Ovis aries: one gene and its partners. The protein of the gene in region 1 purifies or fractionates together with the protein of each later gene. This does not show direct contact. Links are inferred from orthologs where the notes say so. Each region holds a gene or a part of one and is shown on either strand. Other genes may lie near its edges. The genes, in order: ARHGEF12, GNA13, MYO6 and GIPC1.

What was found.
Region 2: the proteins of ARHGEF12 (region 1) and GNA13 purify together in Homo sapiens (affinity purification with western blotting; 3 studies listed by BioGRID). This does not show direct contact. The link is inferred for Ovis aries from reciprocal best matches to the Homo sapiens genes ARHGEF12 and GNA13.
Region 3: the proteins of ARHGEF12 (region 1) and MYO6 purify together in Homo sapiens (affinity purification with mass spectrometry; 4 studies listed by BioGRID and IntAct, counting the BioPlex papers as one, with this or other methods). This does not show direct contact. The link is inferred for Ovis aries from reciprocal best matches to the Homo sapiens genes ARHGEF12 and MYO6.
Region 4: the proteins of ARHGEF12 (region 1) and GIPC1 purify together in Homo sapiens (co-immunoprecipitation; 4 studies listed by BioGRID and IntAct, with this or other methods). This does not show direct contact. The link is inferred for Ovis aries from reciprocal best matches to the Homo sapiens genes ARHGEF12 and GIPC1.

What each region holds. Positions count from the first base shown.
Region 1 is NC_056068.1:30,638,045-30,642,342, reverse strand, and holds the start of ARHGEF12 (rho guanine nucleotide exchange factor 12), read right to left. Parts: upstream 2,846-4,298; 5' UTR 2,447-2,845; coding exon 2,415-2,446; exon of another isoform or gene 2,177-2,414; intron 1-2,176. UniProt on the Homo sapiens protein: May play a role in the regulation of RhoA GTPase by guanine nucleotide-binding alpha-12 (GNA12) and alpha-13 (GNA13). Acts as guanine nucleotide exchange factor (GEF) for RhoA GTPase and may act as GTPase-activating protein (GAP) for GNA12 and GNA13.
Region 2 is NC_056064.1:61,101,885-61,105,445, forward strand, and holds part of GNA13 (guanine nucleotide-binding protein subunit alpha-13), read right to left. Parts: intron 3,207-3,561; coding exon 2,634-3,206; 3' UTR 1-2,633. UniProt on the Homo sapiens protein: Guanine nucleotide-binding proteins (G proteins) are involved as modulators or transducers in various transmembrane signaling systems.
Region 3 is NC_056061.1:2,724,002-2,727,562, forward strand, and holds part of MYO6 (unconventional myosin-VI), read left to right. Parts: intron 1-99; coding exon 100-250; intron 251-1,730; coding exon 1,731-1,939; intron 1,940-2,577; coding exon 2,578-2,656; intron 2,657-3,518; coding exon 3,519-3,561. UniProt on the Homo sapiens protein: Myosins are actin-based motor molecules with ATPase activity. Unconventional myosins serve in intracellular movements. Myosin 6 is a reverse-direction motor protein that moves towards the minus-end of actin filaments.
Region 4 is NC_056058.1:9,603,961-9,608,320, reverse strand, and holds the start of GIPC1 (PDZ domain-containing protein GIPC1), read right to left. Parts: upstream 2,843-4,360; 5' UTR 2,773-2,842; intron 2,267-2,772; 5' UTR 2,258-2,266; coding exon 2,153-2,257; exon of another isoform or gene 2,083-2,152; intron 2,017-2,082; exon of another isoform or gene 1,870-2,016; intron 1,332-1,869; exon of another isoform or gene 1,119-1,331; intron 306-1,118; exon of another isoform or gene 251-305; intron 1-250. UniProt on the Homo sapiens protein: May be involved in G protein-linked signaling.

The DNA of each region.
Region 1 (4,298 bases):
CTGTTAATTTGCCAATAGCTCTAGAATCAGCAAAATGTACCTAGAGTGCACTGGAGTTAGACCATGAGAAGAGGCTGAGGTAGTTAGGCTGAGAAGAAGATGGGAACTGTTCTATACTAGTAACTTTATTAAGGCAGCCTGGCACAGAAATAACACTAAACCAGTACTTCCAGATTTCACCCCAACATATATTCAAATCAGGGACAACTCTTAAGAGTCAATGGATGCTTGAGATTATGGGGCAAGATATGTTCAAAGAAAAAGTAATAGTCACATAAGAATAAATCTTGTGGTGGCAAAAAAGAAACTAGTAGTAAATTCCTAAGAAATACGAATCCATAATTGTCTCACTAAGGCACATTAAGTGGCTTTTAAAGTCTTTTGTCTTTTAAAAAGTATGTGAAATTAGGCAGTACCTGAACTAATTCAAGTAGATATTAAACCCAAACCAATTTGCAGATTCATCTTAGAATATTCATCTTTTAATCCTTTGTGCCCAGCACAGTGCCTGGCAAAAAAACAGGCAGCATTAACCGCATGTTTATTGTACATTTGTATCTCACCTAAGTTATAAAAAGCAACACAAATACCAAGGTTTTCTTTCCAACATAATGGAAATAGGACATCTCTGAGAAGCAAAGAAGAAGGAAAGATCATTACTTGGGGGCCTTTAGGTGATTTTAATGTGGAATGAGCTGGTGATCCAAGGTTCTGTTTCTACAGAATTAAACACCCTTACTATTGCAATGAAAACTACCAACATATTAGTTTCTAGTAAGACTTGTCTCCAGGGTCAACAGAGAAGGCAAGAATTGAGAGAACCAGGAAAACAATCACCCTTGAAAGTGGCTTCTCAGAGACAAAACACCCTAAAAGAAAAGGAATGGGAATAACCAGAAAAAATCAAAATAAGCATTGTTAATAATGTTAAGTGTACTCTCGGAGAAGTTGAAAATTAAATGCATTTAAAAAAATACACAAACAAAGAATAAATAGTTTAAATATTTAATAGAATCTTTTAGGTGAACATTCACGTGATACTAGGAAGCATCAACAGGAACAGGAAATTCTGTTTCTGGAGTAGCTGTTAGGGTAAGATAATGGAATTTGGCCCTTTTAAAGTCAACAAATGAGTCTTACAATTGGGTGAAACTGTCTTATTAGGGAATTCAACTACTTTTTGCAGAAGCACTTCTCAAAATGCTTTCTTTGCTCCCTAACTTCAGCTATTTGATCTTTTTTTTTTCTTTTTAATGATGTAATGGTTTGAAGGCTGACCAAAAAAAAAATAATAATAACAACTGAAACTTGGGACTTGAATAAGTAAGTAAAGTCACTCAGTCCTGTCCGACTCTTTGTGACCCCGTGGACTGCAGCCCACCAGGCTCCTCAGTCTATGGGATTCTCCAGGCAAGAATACTGGAGTGGGTTGCCATTTCCTTCTCCAGGGGATCTTCCCGACCCAGGGATCGAACCCGGATCTCCCGCATTGGCCGCAGACGCTTTAACCTCTGAGCCATCAGGGAAGCCTGAATACGTTATAATAACACTGAAAAATATGTAGTAAAGAATATGCTTTTATCACTTAAATATTTCAAAGAATAACTCTAAAGAGTAAGGAAACTCACTTAAACCACAAATGGTCTACCTCAATTCACCAAGCAACATAGGTAAGTACTGTAAAAGACTGACCCAACTCAACAAATCCACCTGCCAGCTTCTACTACATAATTCGCTTAGGCCTACACCCCTTAAATGCAAACGTTTCTGGAAAATGAAATCCTAAAAGTGCAATAATTAAAATCAAGCCCCATGATGTTCCCCTGCCTTTTTTTTTTTTTTTTTTAAAGTTCCTTGATATTGTCCCCACCAGGAGACTGGGACTTACTGGTAATTCCAACATTCTGTAAAACTATTAGACAATAAACACTGTGCAAGTCAATGTTTCAAGGATATCAATTTCATAAATCATCAGGCAGTTAGTCTCAGAATGAAGTTCACAAACAGAACAGGGTTTAGGGAACTACAGGACAGGAGTTAAACTTATGAGGGACCAATACCCCAGCCGACCTCCGGCGCTGACCTTCACCCAAAATGACCTTCCTCTGCTTCCAAGAACAGTAATGAATCCTAATGCCCACTACGGACAGAAAAACACAATCGTGGCTTTACCTACCCTTCCTCCGACACTCTGGAAAAGTTTCTCTCCAGAAAAAAAAAAAAAAAAAAAAATTTCCAAATTCAATCAACCGGGTAACTTGGCAGCAACCCCAGACTAACTGCAGAGCTCGGAAACAACCCTCCGTCGGATGCCTGTCAACTTCACTGGGCAAAGGCAATCGGCAATCCTGACTCTCCTGTTAGGTCGGGCCCCATCCAGGGAGGCTAAGCGCAGGGGGGAGCTTCATACCAACCTGTCGGTGATAGTAGACTGTGTGCCACTCATTGGGGCCCTTGGCGAGAGGTCCTCCTTTTATCCAACTTGCATTTTACAGTAACACCTCCACCCCACCCCCAGCGCTCCGGGATCAGGCCCGACTCCGTAGGGGACACCAGAGTCCAACTCAAAACTCCATTCAGTCATCTAGAACGTCCGACTGGCAGAGGTCAAGGAGAGGGGATGCGGGTGGGAGCGAAGCAAGTTATCTCCCCAAACAAACCGAGCAAGTCCGCCAGAAGGCGAGGTCTAAAGCTAGGGAGCGATCCTTGGGAAAGCGCCGGAGAAAACTTCGTCACGGAGGGAAGTCGGCGAGCCGCGCGGGGAACGGACCTCAGGAGTCCGTCCGGGGCAGGATGGGCTCCTCGTCGGGGTCTCGGGGGCCTGCAAATCCCCGCCGCCGAGCCGGGGCCCGCTGGCTTCTGCTTTCTATCTGGGGCTGCCGGCCGCTCGTGGCCGCGGTCTCGGCCGCGTCTCGGGCCGCCCCGCGTCAGCCGCGCGCGGCTCCATGGCCCCGGGCCGGGGGACCCCTCTCGTCGTCCTCGCCGCCCCCCACCAGGCTCCGGATGCCGGGACGAGCACGAGCGCCGGGGGAGGAGGTTCCGCAGCCGGAGGTGACAGGAACCTGGTCTCTCAGCCCCGCGGGCTGCTCCCCATCCCTCGGAGGCCCGGGCTCTTCCGCGGTCGGCGAAGGCGGCGGCGGCGGCGGCGGTGGCTCCTCCCCGACGCGCCGGTAGGCGGCGGTTCCCGCGAGGGGCGGGAGGTTCCCGTCTGACCCGGCCTGGAAGCACTGGCCCGGGAGGCCGGCGGCGACCCCGGCGACTCGGAACGCAGGGCCGGCTAGCCGGGTCCTGGGGCTCTCGCGGGAGCGCGCGCGGCGGGCGGAGGAGGCCGCCGGCGGTGGAGGGGGCCGCGAGACAACCGCAGGCGCGCGCGCGGGTTCCGGTTCCGGTTCTGCCTTCCCGGCCCCTGCCGCATCCAGCGCGAGCGCTCGCCCTTCCCCTCCCCCGCCGACTTTTTTTGGCCTCCTCCCCTCTGACTTCGGGAAGCCGCCTCACCCGGGATCCCTCCGCGGCGCGCGGGGCGGCCCCAGCCCCCAGCTCTCGCCACCCCGCGCGCCGCCTCCGCTCACCGGCCGCGGGTGCGCGCCGCCCCCGCGCGGACGCCTCCGCCGGAATCTTGTGGGGGGAGAGCGAAAAAGTAGTTCTGTGGGGGCAGAAGGAGGTGGGCACCGTGCGACCCTGAGAGTCCCACGCGCCAACCTAAGGTTGTCCCAGGGAGCCCACGAATGCCGGAGGTTGCTACTTTGGGGTCTAGCTTGCCCTAACTCGGCTTTCCCCCAGAGAGCACGCCCCCAGTCCCGAGGAGTTGAGGATGAGAGAGGAGGCTCTTTGGAAATTACTCACCCCCTTGTCCTAGAAACTTGTATTCCTTAAGGGAGCATACTTGTTCTTTTCTGATAACACGCACAGACTGTTTTTGGCGAATGGAAGCAAACTCAGGTCCGGCTGCCCGGACCCCGCTGCTCTCTGGTGAATCAGACCCCAGCAGAGAGAGGTTTTGGCCTTGGCCGCTCACCTGGGGCACCTGCTGGCCTCGGCCCAGGGCAGGGGCTGCCGCGCAAAAAAGTCTTGGCTGCCGGCGGAGGGTTGGAGGATGGAAGTGTATAGGAATGGGGAGACAGTTTGGGAACTGGAGCCAGGATTTCTTCGTATAAGGTTGCTTTTAGGCTGCTTCTGCCTTGGCAAAATAAAATGTGTTATTTGCCAAATTGAGCAAGCATGGTGCTTTCCACAGCGGCTTAACAAGCTTGCTGTGGAAAGAAATGGGAGCGGGGAGGGGGGGGGGCAGTTTATTTATC
Region 2 (3,561 bases), on another chromosome or scaffold:
AAAAATAATATTTAAGTGGCAGAGGCATGCCTTTAAATTATTTGGATCTTCAGAAAAAATATCTGACAAAAACTCTTCCCTATTTAAGAAAAAAAAAAGGCAAAATTTGAGGTGTTCTTTGCTTTATAAGGCAACTCTGTATACTGTAAGGTTCTTCAAGGTCAATGAAGACACTTGTGTGACATTTCTTAAGAATTAAACAAGACGTTCAGACCTAAGAACAGAATGTAATGGAGAATTAGGCACAGTTTACTCCAAAGTGTAACCATGAAGACTTAGAAAGTTAAATACAGTGGAGAATTTTAAATTCAAATTACATTTTTAGAGACTGGGGTGGGGGAGCAGGCACCCTGGCAGCTTGGCCCCGAATCTCCGTCTCCCCTTCACACAGTGTATTTTAAACAGATCTGGTTTTCATGATACAGGTACAGGACTCTTTCACATGGTTTAAATATACAGTACACAAAACATGTGACTAAAGCCTTCAGACTGAACCAGCAAGCCTGTATGAGTAATTTACTGCCTCAGAATATACTCAAGGTTTTACTTTAAAAGAAAGTTGACTCTGAGACTCCACACCCATCAGGAAAGGAATCTCAAATGCTTAGAATAGTATGCCATTTCTTTGGTGCTCTAACATCTGACTGTGGTGGTCAAAATGGGGACTTCTGCTTTGCTGGGCAGTGTGTGCGGCTTGTATCAGAGATCTGAACAAGGACCTGATTGAGACCATCCCTCCTCACTGCACACACCCGGAACTGACTTTAGCCCTCACTGGAGTGAAACACCACCTCCTGATAAACTGACGCACAGACCTCCACCCAAGTCTCCGTGTAACACACACGTGCTGTGCCCTGAAATGGTTCACTCTGCAGGTTAAACAACACACTTGTGTTTAGTGAGCAGCACTGGACACAGAGCTCAGACATGCGCGAGCCCTGCTCCATGGACGCCTGTGTCACAGGGCGGGGCTCACGTCAGCAGCACAGCATCACCAGGACACGGACACACAGGCAGCTATGGGGGCAGCGATGGAGGAGCTTCAAATGCGAGCAAAGTCAGGCGCCCGACAAGCGCTGGTCAGGTCCCAGCAGAGTCCTAGCCTAACCCACCCGCGACACAGACCCAGAGCCCGACCGGGGAGGGCTGGGGGATCCAGAACTCTGACCAGCCTTTCAAGGACTGCTCGCCTATAAACACCTGAGAACACAGTCAGCTGTGCAGTGAAGGGGCAGGTGTCACAGTCAATCACAGTTTTCAGGAAAGGGAGAAAAACCACCAGACTCTCCAAACTCACCTTGTACACCTGTTCCTCTACCCGACTGCAACACCACACATAACCCACAGGGCGGGCCTCTTAATGCCGAAACCCAGCCACTCTGAGGCGCTCAGAGGGTGCGTCTGTTAACAGCAGAGCTCCCTGGGGTGCGTTCTAATTGGGGGCGTGGTGGGGGAGGTCACACGTAACCATCTTTCAGCAGGAACTGAACACGACTCCTCATTCTTGAGAGAATCCTTGAACCTTCCAAACGCACCTCAGGAGAGCTGGAATTCCACGAACAACAGTGCTGCCAACACATACAGCCTCCGAAGAGACACACCGAGAAGGAACGAGAACCTCAAGCAACGGCTTCCTGGATAGTCTGACAGGAAAACATTGCCCTTGGCAAGCTCCAAAAAACCCAAAACCCCTCATAAATGCTGCCCTCTGGAGCTGACGGGAACAGAAGGAGCGTGAACGAACCACGTCCATGATGGTGCGACAGGGATTCCCACTGTGGGACCTGCCGTGTCTGAGCCGGGGGCTCAAAGTCTGAGAGTAACACGAACTCTCCTCGGGAAGGGCTGGGTTTACTCAGAAAGCTCTGCTGCCAGGCTGCGCTTCCTAGCTGCTGTGACGGCCAGTGTTTCCTGCATGGCACCTGGAGGACAGGTCTCAGTATGGGAAAGGCAGCCTGCCCTCCACTCTTTTGGCTTCTGATCAAAACACTGGGAACGGCACGCGCCTGTGCACCCTGAACCACACGGGAGCTTCCACCCGCGCCAGAGGAGACACCCTTATGTGAACTGAGACACACGCCGAGCACTGCCTTCAGGAGCCACAGAAAACTCAGAACTGCTGGGGACACGAGCAATCAGAAGAACGTGAAGGCCGAAGCCGGGGAGGTCTACGGACCGCCGCTGCTCAGAGCAAACTTCCCCAGCGGCCCTCCTTCCCCACCAGCCCACCGAGGCTGGGCACAGGCGCAGCTGCCACATGCGGCGACCGCGGCGCCCCGCGCGGTCCAGGGCCTGCGCGCGCTCGGCCTCGGGCTCGCCCTGCGGCGCTAAGGGCGCCTGCCATGCTTGGCGCCACAGGAGCACTGTTTGAGAAGGGGAAGGGTCAAAGCCGGAAGGACAGCGTGTCTGAGGCCTGGCGGGAGGAGGGCCCGTCCACGGAGGCCGGAGCTGCACCCACGGGCGTCGGCCGAGGGCAGCCCTCCGCCAGGGGCCAGAGTCGCCGGAGGAGGACTGAGATTTCCAAGGAGTTAAACCCAGAATCAAGACTGTTCTAATTCCTGCTGTAAACTTCTATTTTAAAAATAAAACGAACAGAAAACAGGAAGGCGGGAAGGCGGCGGGCCCTTGGGGCGTCACTGGAGCATCAGCTGCTTGAGGTTGTCATGCAGGATGGTGTCCTTGACGTCGCGGAACACCAGGCGGATGTTCTCGGTGTTGATGGCGGTGGTGAAGTGGTGGTACAGGGGCTTCTGCTGCTGGTCCCGGCGCTTGCTGCGGAAGCACTCCACCAGGAATTTCTGGACGTCTCTTAAGCAGTGGGGGTCCCCTTCAAACTCTAGGAAATAGTCTTTGATGCTCACAATTTGCACTTTCTCCTCAAGCAAATCTGTCTTGTTCAAGAAGAGAATTATGGAGACATTGCTGAAAACCCGGTTATTGACGATGGTTTCAAAAATGTTCAGCGACTCGGTCAGGCGGTTGGTCAGGCGGTCCTCCATGAGCACCTGGTCAAACTCGCTGGAGGAGACAAGGAACAGTATGGACGTCACGCTGTCGAAGCACTCGAACCAGCGCTTCCGCTCTGACCGCTGGCCGCCCACGTCGACCATTTTGAAAGGCACGTTCTTGATTTCAAAGTCGTACTCATGGATGCCTTTGGTGGGCCTTCTGGCGAGCAGGATGTCTTGCTGGGAGGGAATGTACTCCTGGAAAAAAGGAAAGTGTTTCCTGCTCAGCGATTCAGGAATAATGAGAAAGTGGAGTGTGCCATTAACTGGTCTGCACATGACTCTGAGCGAACTTGGGAGACAGTGGAGGGCAGCGGAGTCTGGCAGGCTGCAGGGCATTTGCTGAGTGTCGACGAGGCGCCAGGCCCTGTCGCTAAGCAGCAAGAACTCAGCTCTTCAGAACCAAGACACAGGGTCCCTGCCTTCAAGGACAGAGGGGGAAAGACCAGCCAACCTCACGTGAATCAACAACTGTAACGCAAGCAGTGGAGCCTTAAAGCAGAGGAGGGGCCATGAGCAGTGTGCTCAAGGAAGGCTGCATGGAAAGGCCAAC
Region 3 (3,561 bases), on another chromosome or scaffold:
GTATTCTGTTTAGTCATATTTTTAGCATTTAATTAAAATGAAAAATCTATTTGTATGATTAAATGGTAGAATTAAAGTGATAAAGTATTATCTTTGCAGCATTGATGGCCTGGTTAAGGTGGGCACACTGAAAAAACGGCTCCATAAATTTAATGAAGTAGTAAATGCATTGAAAGATGGAAAACCAGAGATGAATAAACAGGTCAAGGACCTTGAAATTTCTATTGATGCTTTAATGGCCAAAATTAAGGTATGTAGTTTTAACCCAAATCACTTTTGACTTTTAAAAACAGTTTAATATTTTTTGTTACTATATTGAAATTTTATAGAAAAATGTCCTTTTTTAAAAAAAATACAGACTGTTAGATGTGTTGAGTCTCAGTGATAAGTGATAGTCATCTTATTTTCTCTACTCTGTGTTTGAAATTTTTCATAGCAAAAAAATTAAAATGAAGACAATTTTTGTGCAATTCATTTGTTGCTAGGAAAGACTTTTCCAAAATATTAACTAAAATATTATACTTTTGGTAAGCTTTTGCAAAATCATTACTGAGAGAAAATTAATGCAAATTGTTTTATTTTGTTTCATGCTTTTCTACTTTCAGAAACTAATTTTTAAATTTTAAAAGTAATAGTCTCAAAAATTTGGAGAAAATCTGCCCCACTTCTTTACCCCTCACACTAACACATTCACCTATATACTGTTGCATGTTCCTCTCAGTCTTATTTTATATGCACATATTTTTGCACCGTTCTTATAAGGTACATTATATTTCACATTCCTATCATTATGTTATTGCCTCGTCCCTATTATTAAATTATTTTCATGTAGGCTATATCATAAATTACTTAACTTTCACGAAATAACAATTAATTTTCTCCCATATTTTGTAAGAAAAAAAGCGAGAGGGCATCTTTGGTTTTGATTTTTGTTTGATTACTAGTGGGATTGAAAATTTTTTCTTTGTGCTTGTTTGTTGATTTTGTTCATCTATTCGTATCATTTTCTGTAATATTTTAGGGCCTCAATGTTTTTCTCATTGACTTTCATAATTCATTGCAGTTATGTGAAATATAATATCTTAAAGTGAGACTTTTAGATATTTTCTACAGATAATGATAAATCTTGGAGTAAGAATGGAGAAAGAAGTCAAGAGAAAACTGAAAATGCTTTGGATAGCCTTAGCTGATTTTACAGATCTGTCCAGAACCACCCCTGTTTATGTGGTATTAATCAATTAAAATCAACCCAGCCACATTTAAGAAAATCATCCAACAATTTTGGGTATAATGATAATTTCTTAAATATCCCCAATGTATTATTTGATCCTTAATATTAAAGAGTAGTAAATTCTGGCAAAATTAATCATTTCTTAAAAAATAAACTTTAACTACAGTATATTAGTTTGTGCACAGTATACTCTTAAGATACTTGATTACTTGATAGGAAGTAGACTCAAATTTTGTTCATAGAGATAACTTAAAATTTAAGTATTCTTTAATATTTAAGCAATAAAAAGATAGTGGGCCTCCTGCTTACCAGCTTTTTCAGTTTTGCTGTGTCTGTGCATGGTGGTTTGTTTCCTTAATTGTGTGAAACGCATACCATTAAACTTACCACTTTAACCAGGTTTTAAATGTACAGTTCAGTGGTGTTCAGTGTGTTCTAACTGTTGTACAGCAGAAGAGATGACTTTTTAAGTGCACGTCCATTGTGTTCTTTCTTTCAGTCCACGGTGATGACAAGGGAACAAATACAGAAAGAGTATGATGCTCTAGTTCAAAGCTCAGAGGTCCTTCTCAGCGCGCTGCAGAAGAAAAAGCAGCAGGAGGAAGAAGCAGAAAGGCTGAGGCGCATTCAAGAAGAAATGGAAAAAGAAAGAAAAAGACGTGAAGAAGATGAGCAACGTCGAAGGAAGGAGGAGGAGGAAAGGCGGATGTAAGGCATTTATGTTGTTGCCTTGGATTAGAAACTGACGCCATAGTGAACTCTGAAGTGTTGACGGTGGTTAATGAATATTCTTATCTGTAAAAGTGATATTCTTATATTTAAATACTAATTTTAGAAGAAGTTTGAAAATGGAGAAAGTAAGCTCACTTTACAGTAACATAAAATGATTTTAATTATAATCTGAATTTTGGTTAAACTCACACCTGAGGATTTCTTAACTTCTTTTTGAAACTGACTTTCATATTATTTTATGATCTAGGAAGAAAGTACTTTTCTGCAGTTTTAAAACTGATAAAATTTTGGAAGCTTGCCATAGTAGGGCAGACAGAAGGAATATGAGTTGTCTAATTGGAGAGGCAGTGTGATTAAGACCTTACAAGTACGCTTGGTAACCAAGTTAATCCAGAGATGTTAAAGGTTATGGAATATAATTATTTCTTTTGTTTCTAAAGAGCTGCTATCAAAGTTAGATTTTATTTTTCAGAAAATAAGTTAATAATGTAATAGGTTAATTTGACTTCCCATTTTGTAACATTTATTTATTAATAAACTTTCTTCTGAAGAGTTTCTTATTTTCTGTTAATTTTTGAAGAGTTTTCTAATTTTTTTTTTTTTTTTTTTTTTAGGAAACTTGAGATGGAAGCAAAGAGAAAACAAGAAGAAGAAGAAAGAAAGAAAAGAGAAGATGATGAAAAACGTATTCAGGTCTGTACTTTCTAGGCAGTCAGACTGAATTCTTACTAAATAGAATCTGCAAAACTATAAAACAAAAGAAGATCTTCATTTACTAGATAAATTGTCACTGATTTATCCTAGAGAGCAAAGGCAGTTTCAGAAGTGGTTATAGGAAGGGACTTTGGAGCTAGGGAAGTGAGTTCAAATCCAGCCTCTCACTGACAGAAATCGTGATATTGCAGGAGTTACAGTGAGTGACTGTGGGCCACAGTTTTCTTTCTGGAATGGAGATAAATAATAATTGTGAGCATTAAATGAGATAATACCTATTAAAGCATTTAGAACAGTGCCTTGTTTAGTAGGTATTAGTTTGTCATCATTTAGAGGGGGACAGTCAGATCAGCATTCAGTCACAACATAATTATCTAATATTTTTAAATGTTATTTTATAACTTTGTAGATGCTAATATTAATAGGTTAGGATTAAGATACTCTCACTATTGCCACCATCTTTAAAAAAAAAATCCATGTCTGAGAATAATTAATCCTATTTTGAGTGTCTGTCTTGGCTTTCTGATTTATCCTGAACACAACCAATACTTTAAGTTCCTGAAATCTGCAGTGTAGGTGTTGGTATTCAGGTCACACCAAGGCTACTGATGTGATGTTTGGGAGACTCATATTCTAGTGATAGAATGGCGGATTCTTACTTTGGGGCTTGAGGAAACATTAATCATAATATAGAAGGGGAGAAGATGGTAGATTTCTGGGTAAAGAGTATGTATTTCTTAGTTTAAAAAAAAAAAGAAAAAACGTGTATGGAGCAAGTGTGCACAGTGAGGGGATGAGCAGAGAGAGAGGGGCCCGGCGTCAAGGCCTTCTGTGCCGGCAGGCAGAGGTGGAGGCGCAGCTGGCCCGGCAGCGGGAGGAGGAGA
Region 4 (4,360 bases), on another chromosome or scaffold:
TCTATCTGTATCATCTTTAGTCAGCTGCCAAGATTCACACTCCCTCCTTTTTCTAGGGCCCCTACATCCTGCTCACCAACTCCCAACTTCCTTAGTCTGCCTACACTTGATGCCCTGGTTCAGGCTGGCTGCATGTCTTACCCAGGACAGGGAAATAATGGTGGTAAGGAAAGTGGGTGGTTTATGAATTTGTTTTCCAGGCCAGAAGAGGCAGAGTGGCCTGGGTTCAAATCCCACCCCTGTCACTTACCAGCTGAGTGGCTGTGGGCAAGTCACTTCACTTGATGGCGCTTTAGTTTCCTCATCTGAAAAATGGGCAGAATTACTGTCTCTCAGAGTGCTTATGGGAATCCAAAGAGTTTATGCAAGTAACTCAATTAGCACTTTGCCTGACATTTGATTTAAGAAAATTATTACTCTCACTGTTATTACTGCCTCTTCCCTTGCCCTGCCCAGGGAGTCCCCTCTGCCTGTCAAGGCCTACTCCTGGCCACCTCCTCCAAGCAGCCTCCTCGGCTTGTCCCTGCCTGTTACAACCACCCCTGTGGTCTAGACAACTCAGGCCCACGGACTTAATTACATGCTGTTCTGGCAGAACCCTTGTCTTCCAGTCTTAGGCTGTTATTTCACTTCATGTCTCTATTTTAAAACATAAACCAGATCGTGTTGCTCCCCAGCCTCAAATCTTACATCAGTTTCCCACGTGATAGAAGAAAAGCTCTAAACTCCTTAATGTGACCCACAGATCCCCACAGAATCACACTGTGGGTTCTCTCCTGCCCCAGCCATACCATGCCAAGCTTGGCCCAGCCTCAGAGCCTTTGCCTTGGCTGTGCCCCCTACCTGATCCTTACAAAGCTGGCTTCTTTTTGTCATTCAGATCTTGGCTCCAAAGTTACCTCCTCCGAGATCCCCCTTTCTTACAGATTCTACCATGCCACTCCCTCATATTTTATTTATAGCATTTATCAACCTCTTGCAAGTGTTTTCTTTATTTACTTGTTATTAACAACTTGTTTGTTGCCTGTTCCCCCCCCCCCCCCATTAGAATGGTAGCTGCCCAAGAGCAGGGATTTCTGTTGTGGTCACTACTGTATCCTCTATGCCAGGAACAGTACCTGGCCTGTGGTGGTGGTGGTGGTTTAGTTGCTAAGTTGTGTCCAACTCTTGCGATGGCCACCAGGCTCCTCTGTCCATGGGATTTCCAGGCAAGAATACTGGAGTGGGTTGCCATTTCCTCCTCCAGGGGATCTTCTCGACCCAGGGATCAAACCTGTGTCTCCTGCACTGGTGGGAGGATGCTTTACCACTGAGCCACCAGGGAAGCCCACCTGGCACATAGCAGGTACTTAATTAATATGTACAGAACGAATGAATAATGTGTCTTACGCCCTCATTCTGACTACTCTCTGAGCCCCTCTAGCCTCAGAACATGCCTACTGTACCGTTTCAAACTGCCACCTCCCCACCACACTCCCAGTCTCCTCTTAAACTTGAACACAGGTATGGAGAAAATGAGCTTCAATTCAGCTAGTGGCACTGAGCAGGTTGGCTGGAATCCCACATCCCTACCCTCTCTTCACTGGGAGGGCCCGGAACTTAACAAGCCTACAGCCACACAGCGTTGCAATGGGAGGAGCAGGAAATGGGAAGGGGGTTCCTGAGAGCTCACACAAGCTGGGAAGGGGACACCACGCCCATGCTCCCCTTTTTGGCAGTGCATTGCTTGGAAGAGGAGGGCAGGAGGCCTCTGAATCAGTCTTGAAAAACCGGCTCATGGGTGTTTCCAGGGAGAATGCCTACTGTCCGCGGCCCAGGCCTCCCTAGGGGCCCAGCAGCCACAGGACCCCAATGGTCCCCACCACCCACCTATTTCTCCCACAGATGTCTCTCTCTTCTTAGGACCCAGTAGTCTGGCCTTGCTTTTCCAGCTTTGGGGAAAAGGGACATGGGGGCAGCTTCCTGTCTGAGCAGCTGGTGAAAACGAAGACCAGCAGGTGTGCCCCAGATGGCTGCCTGGTTGGAGGGAATGGAGTGGGAGGAGCTGGTCAGAAACACCTGAGCCCTGAAGCCACTGGATACCTAGTCTAGTGGCGGAGATTCCAGTTCTGGACTCTGAAGCATGGGTTTGAGTCCCAGATCTGCCACTTACTCGCTGTGTGACCTTAGGCAAGACACTCCACCTCTCTGGGTCTGCTGCTTCACCTCTGAAAGAAGTAACAGCAACTTCCATGAGGGGTGATTCAATGATCCGCATGGTAAATACCTGACACGGAAGTGTTCAATGAATGCTAGCCCGGGTGATTGTTTTCATTATTACAATCGGGACCTCGATCCTCCCAAGGCGCACCCCACCCCCTCGCCAGGCCCTGGACGAGTGGGACAAGGCCAGCTTCGGGGACAAGGCCAGCTTCGGGGACTTGTCAGAAATACCGACTCTGCGCCTGTCCCCACCGGGAGGGGAACTCTCCAGAGGTGCAGGGGGCTGGGGTGCGGCTGGAGACGACATCCCGGCGCCGGGAGGCGTTCACCCCTGACCTTAGAGGGAAGGCAGGCGGTCCTCCGGGAAGGGGACTCGGACGTTTCCCCCCACCCCGTCCCGCCCCTCCACCCCACTCAGCCTAGACCTCCAGCCGCGTCCATGGGGCCGGCCCCACCCCGCAGGATAGGCCGAATCTCCGCGGGTTCGCGATCTCGCGGGTCTGCTCCGGGGTCCCCTCGAGCGGCCGCGATGGACCACCCCCTCGCCCCTGCCTTGCCGGGTATACTCACCTGAGCCTCCTTAGCCGCCGCCCAGCTCGCCCAGCTCGGCCCTCCGCAAACTCTGGCCCGGGCCTCTCCCGCAGCCACCGCCAGGGGGCGGGGCTGGCGCCCGCATCTGGCCAATCAGAAACGGCCGCCCGGCGCTCGCGGCCAATCCACTCCACGCCGCCCCCCTGCGGGTGGAACCCGAAGGAAACATTCCAGAGGGATCCCTGCGCTGCACGCGATTCTTCACGACACCTCCCCCGCCGCGGAGCGTTGGACCTTCCCACCCCTCCTAAGCCGCGGCGGCCTGTTCCACCGCGAGGCGGCGGAAGGGGGAGCTGAGGCCGAGCCCGAGCCAATCTCTGGGAGGAAGGAGGCCAGCGGCCAATGGGAAGCTGGGGCCCCCGGACCACGTGTTCTTGGCTAAGTGTCCGTGTGGGGTGCTGTGGGTGCTAAGAGGCGGGGGACTAGTCGTGGAAGTCAGGTGACCGATACTGAGTTTGGGGGTGGGGAGGGGGAAAGGATACAAACTTCCAAAGTCCAGAAAAGGGAACCCTTTAGGATACCCGGAGGGGGCCAAGGGCGGTCCCTAATCCAGTCCTCCACTTGGCCTGCCCATGTCTCAGCTCGGCCACCCTCAGAGCGGATAAAAAGATGTATTCATTCTGGGCGGGAGGGCGGGGGACTGAGATGAATAGGGAGGGTCCCGCGTGTCCAGCGTCCTGGATGGACAATGGACAAGGGCATTCATTCATTCATTTACTCATCAAATATTTAAGGCGCTCCTGCTCCGTGCCAGGCTCTGTCCTATCTCAACAGATACGTCTACGAGTAAGCTGAATGAATATGCTCTTGGTAAAGGGAACGGGGCATGCAAAGGCTTGGAGGGCGGACAGAGAGATACAGCACACTTTAGGAGAGTGCAATAGCGAAGGAGTTTGCAAAGCAGCTAGCAAAGCATCTTTAGGTTGCAGTGGTACGAAAGACAAGGGCAAAACGGTCTGTTCGCTTGCTGGTTGACCAGTGGATATTTATTGAGCACATATTATGTGCTAGATTACAAAGGATACCCAGCCAACCCAAGTCTCAGCCCTGAGGGAGCTGACATTCACGAGTCTGTCTCCATCTCTGTTCCCTCTCTGTCCCCCACCCTCCAGTCCTGAGAATGGCACAGAGCAGGGTTTCAGTATACATATGTGGATGAAAGAACTAGGTAATCTCACCATCTCCAGGTCTGGCTTGTAACTGAGATTTCTTAGGCAGAAGCAGGTACAAGAAACAAAGACACAAATGCACCCTTCCCAGGCCAGGACAAACCTAGACAGCATATTTAAAAAAAGTGAAGACATCACTTTGCCAACAGAAGTCTGTATAGTCAAAGCTGTGGTTTTTCCAGTTGTCATGTAGAGATGTCAAAGTTGGGCCATAAAGAAGGCTGAGCACCGAATAAGTGATGTTTTCAAACTGTGGTGCTGGAGAAGACTCTTGAGAGTCCATTGAACAGCAAGGAGATCGAACCAGTCAATTCTAAAGGAAATCAACCCTGGATACTCATTGCAAGGACTGATACTGAAGCCCCAGCTTTGGCCACCTGATGCGAACAGCCGATTCA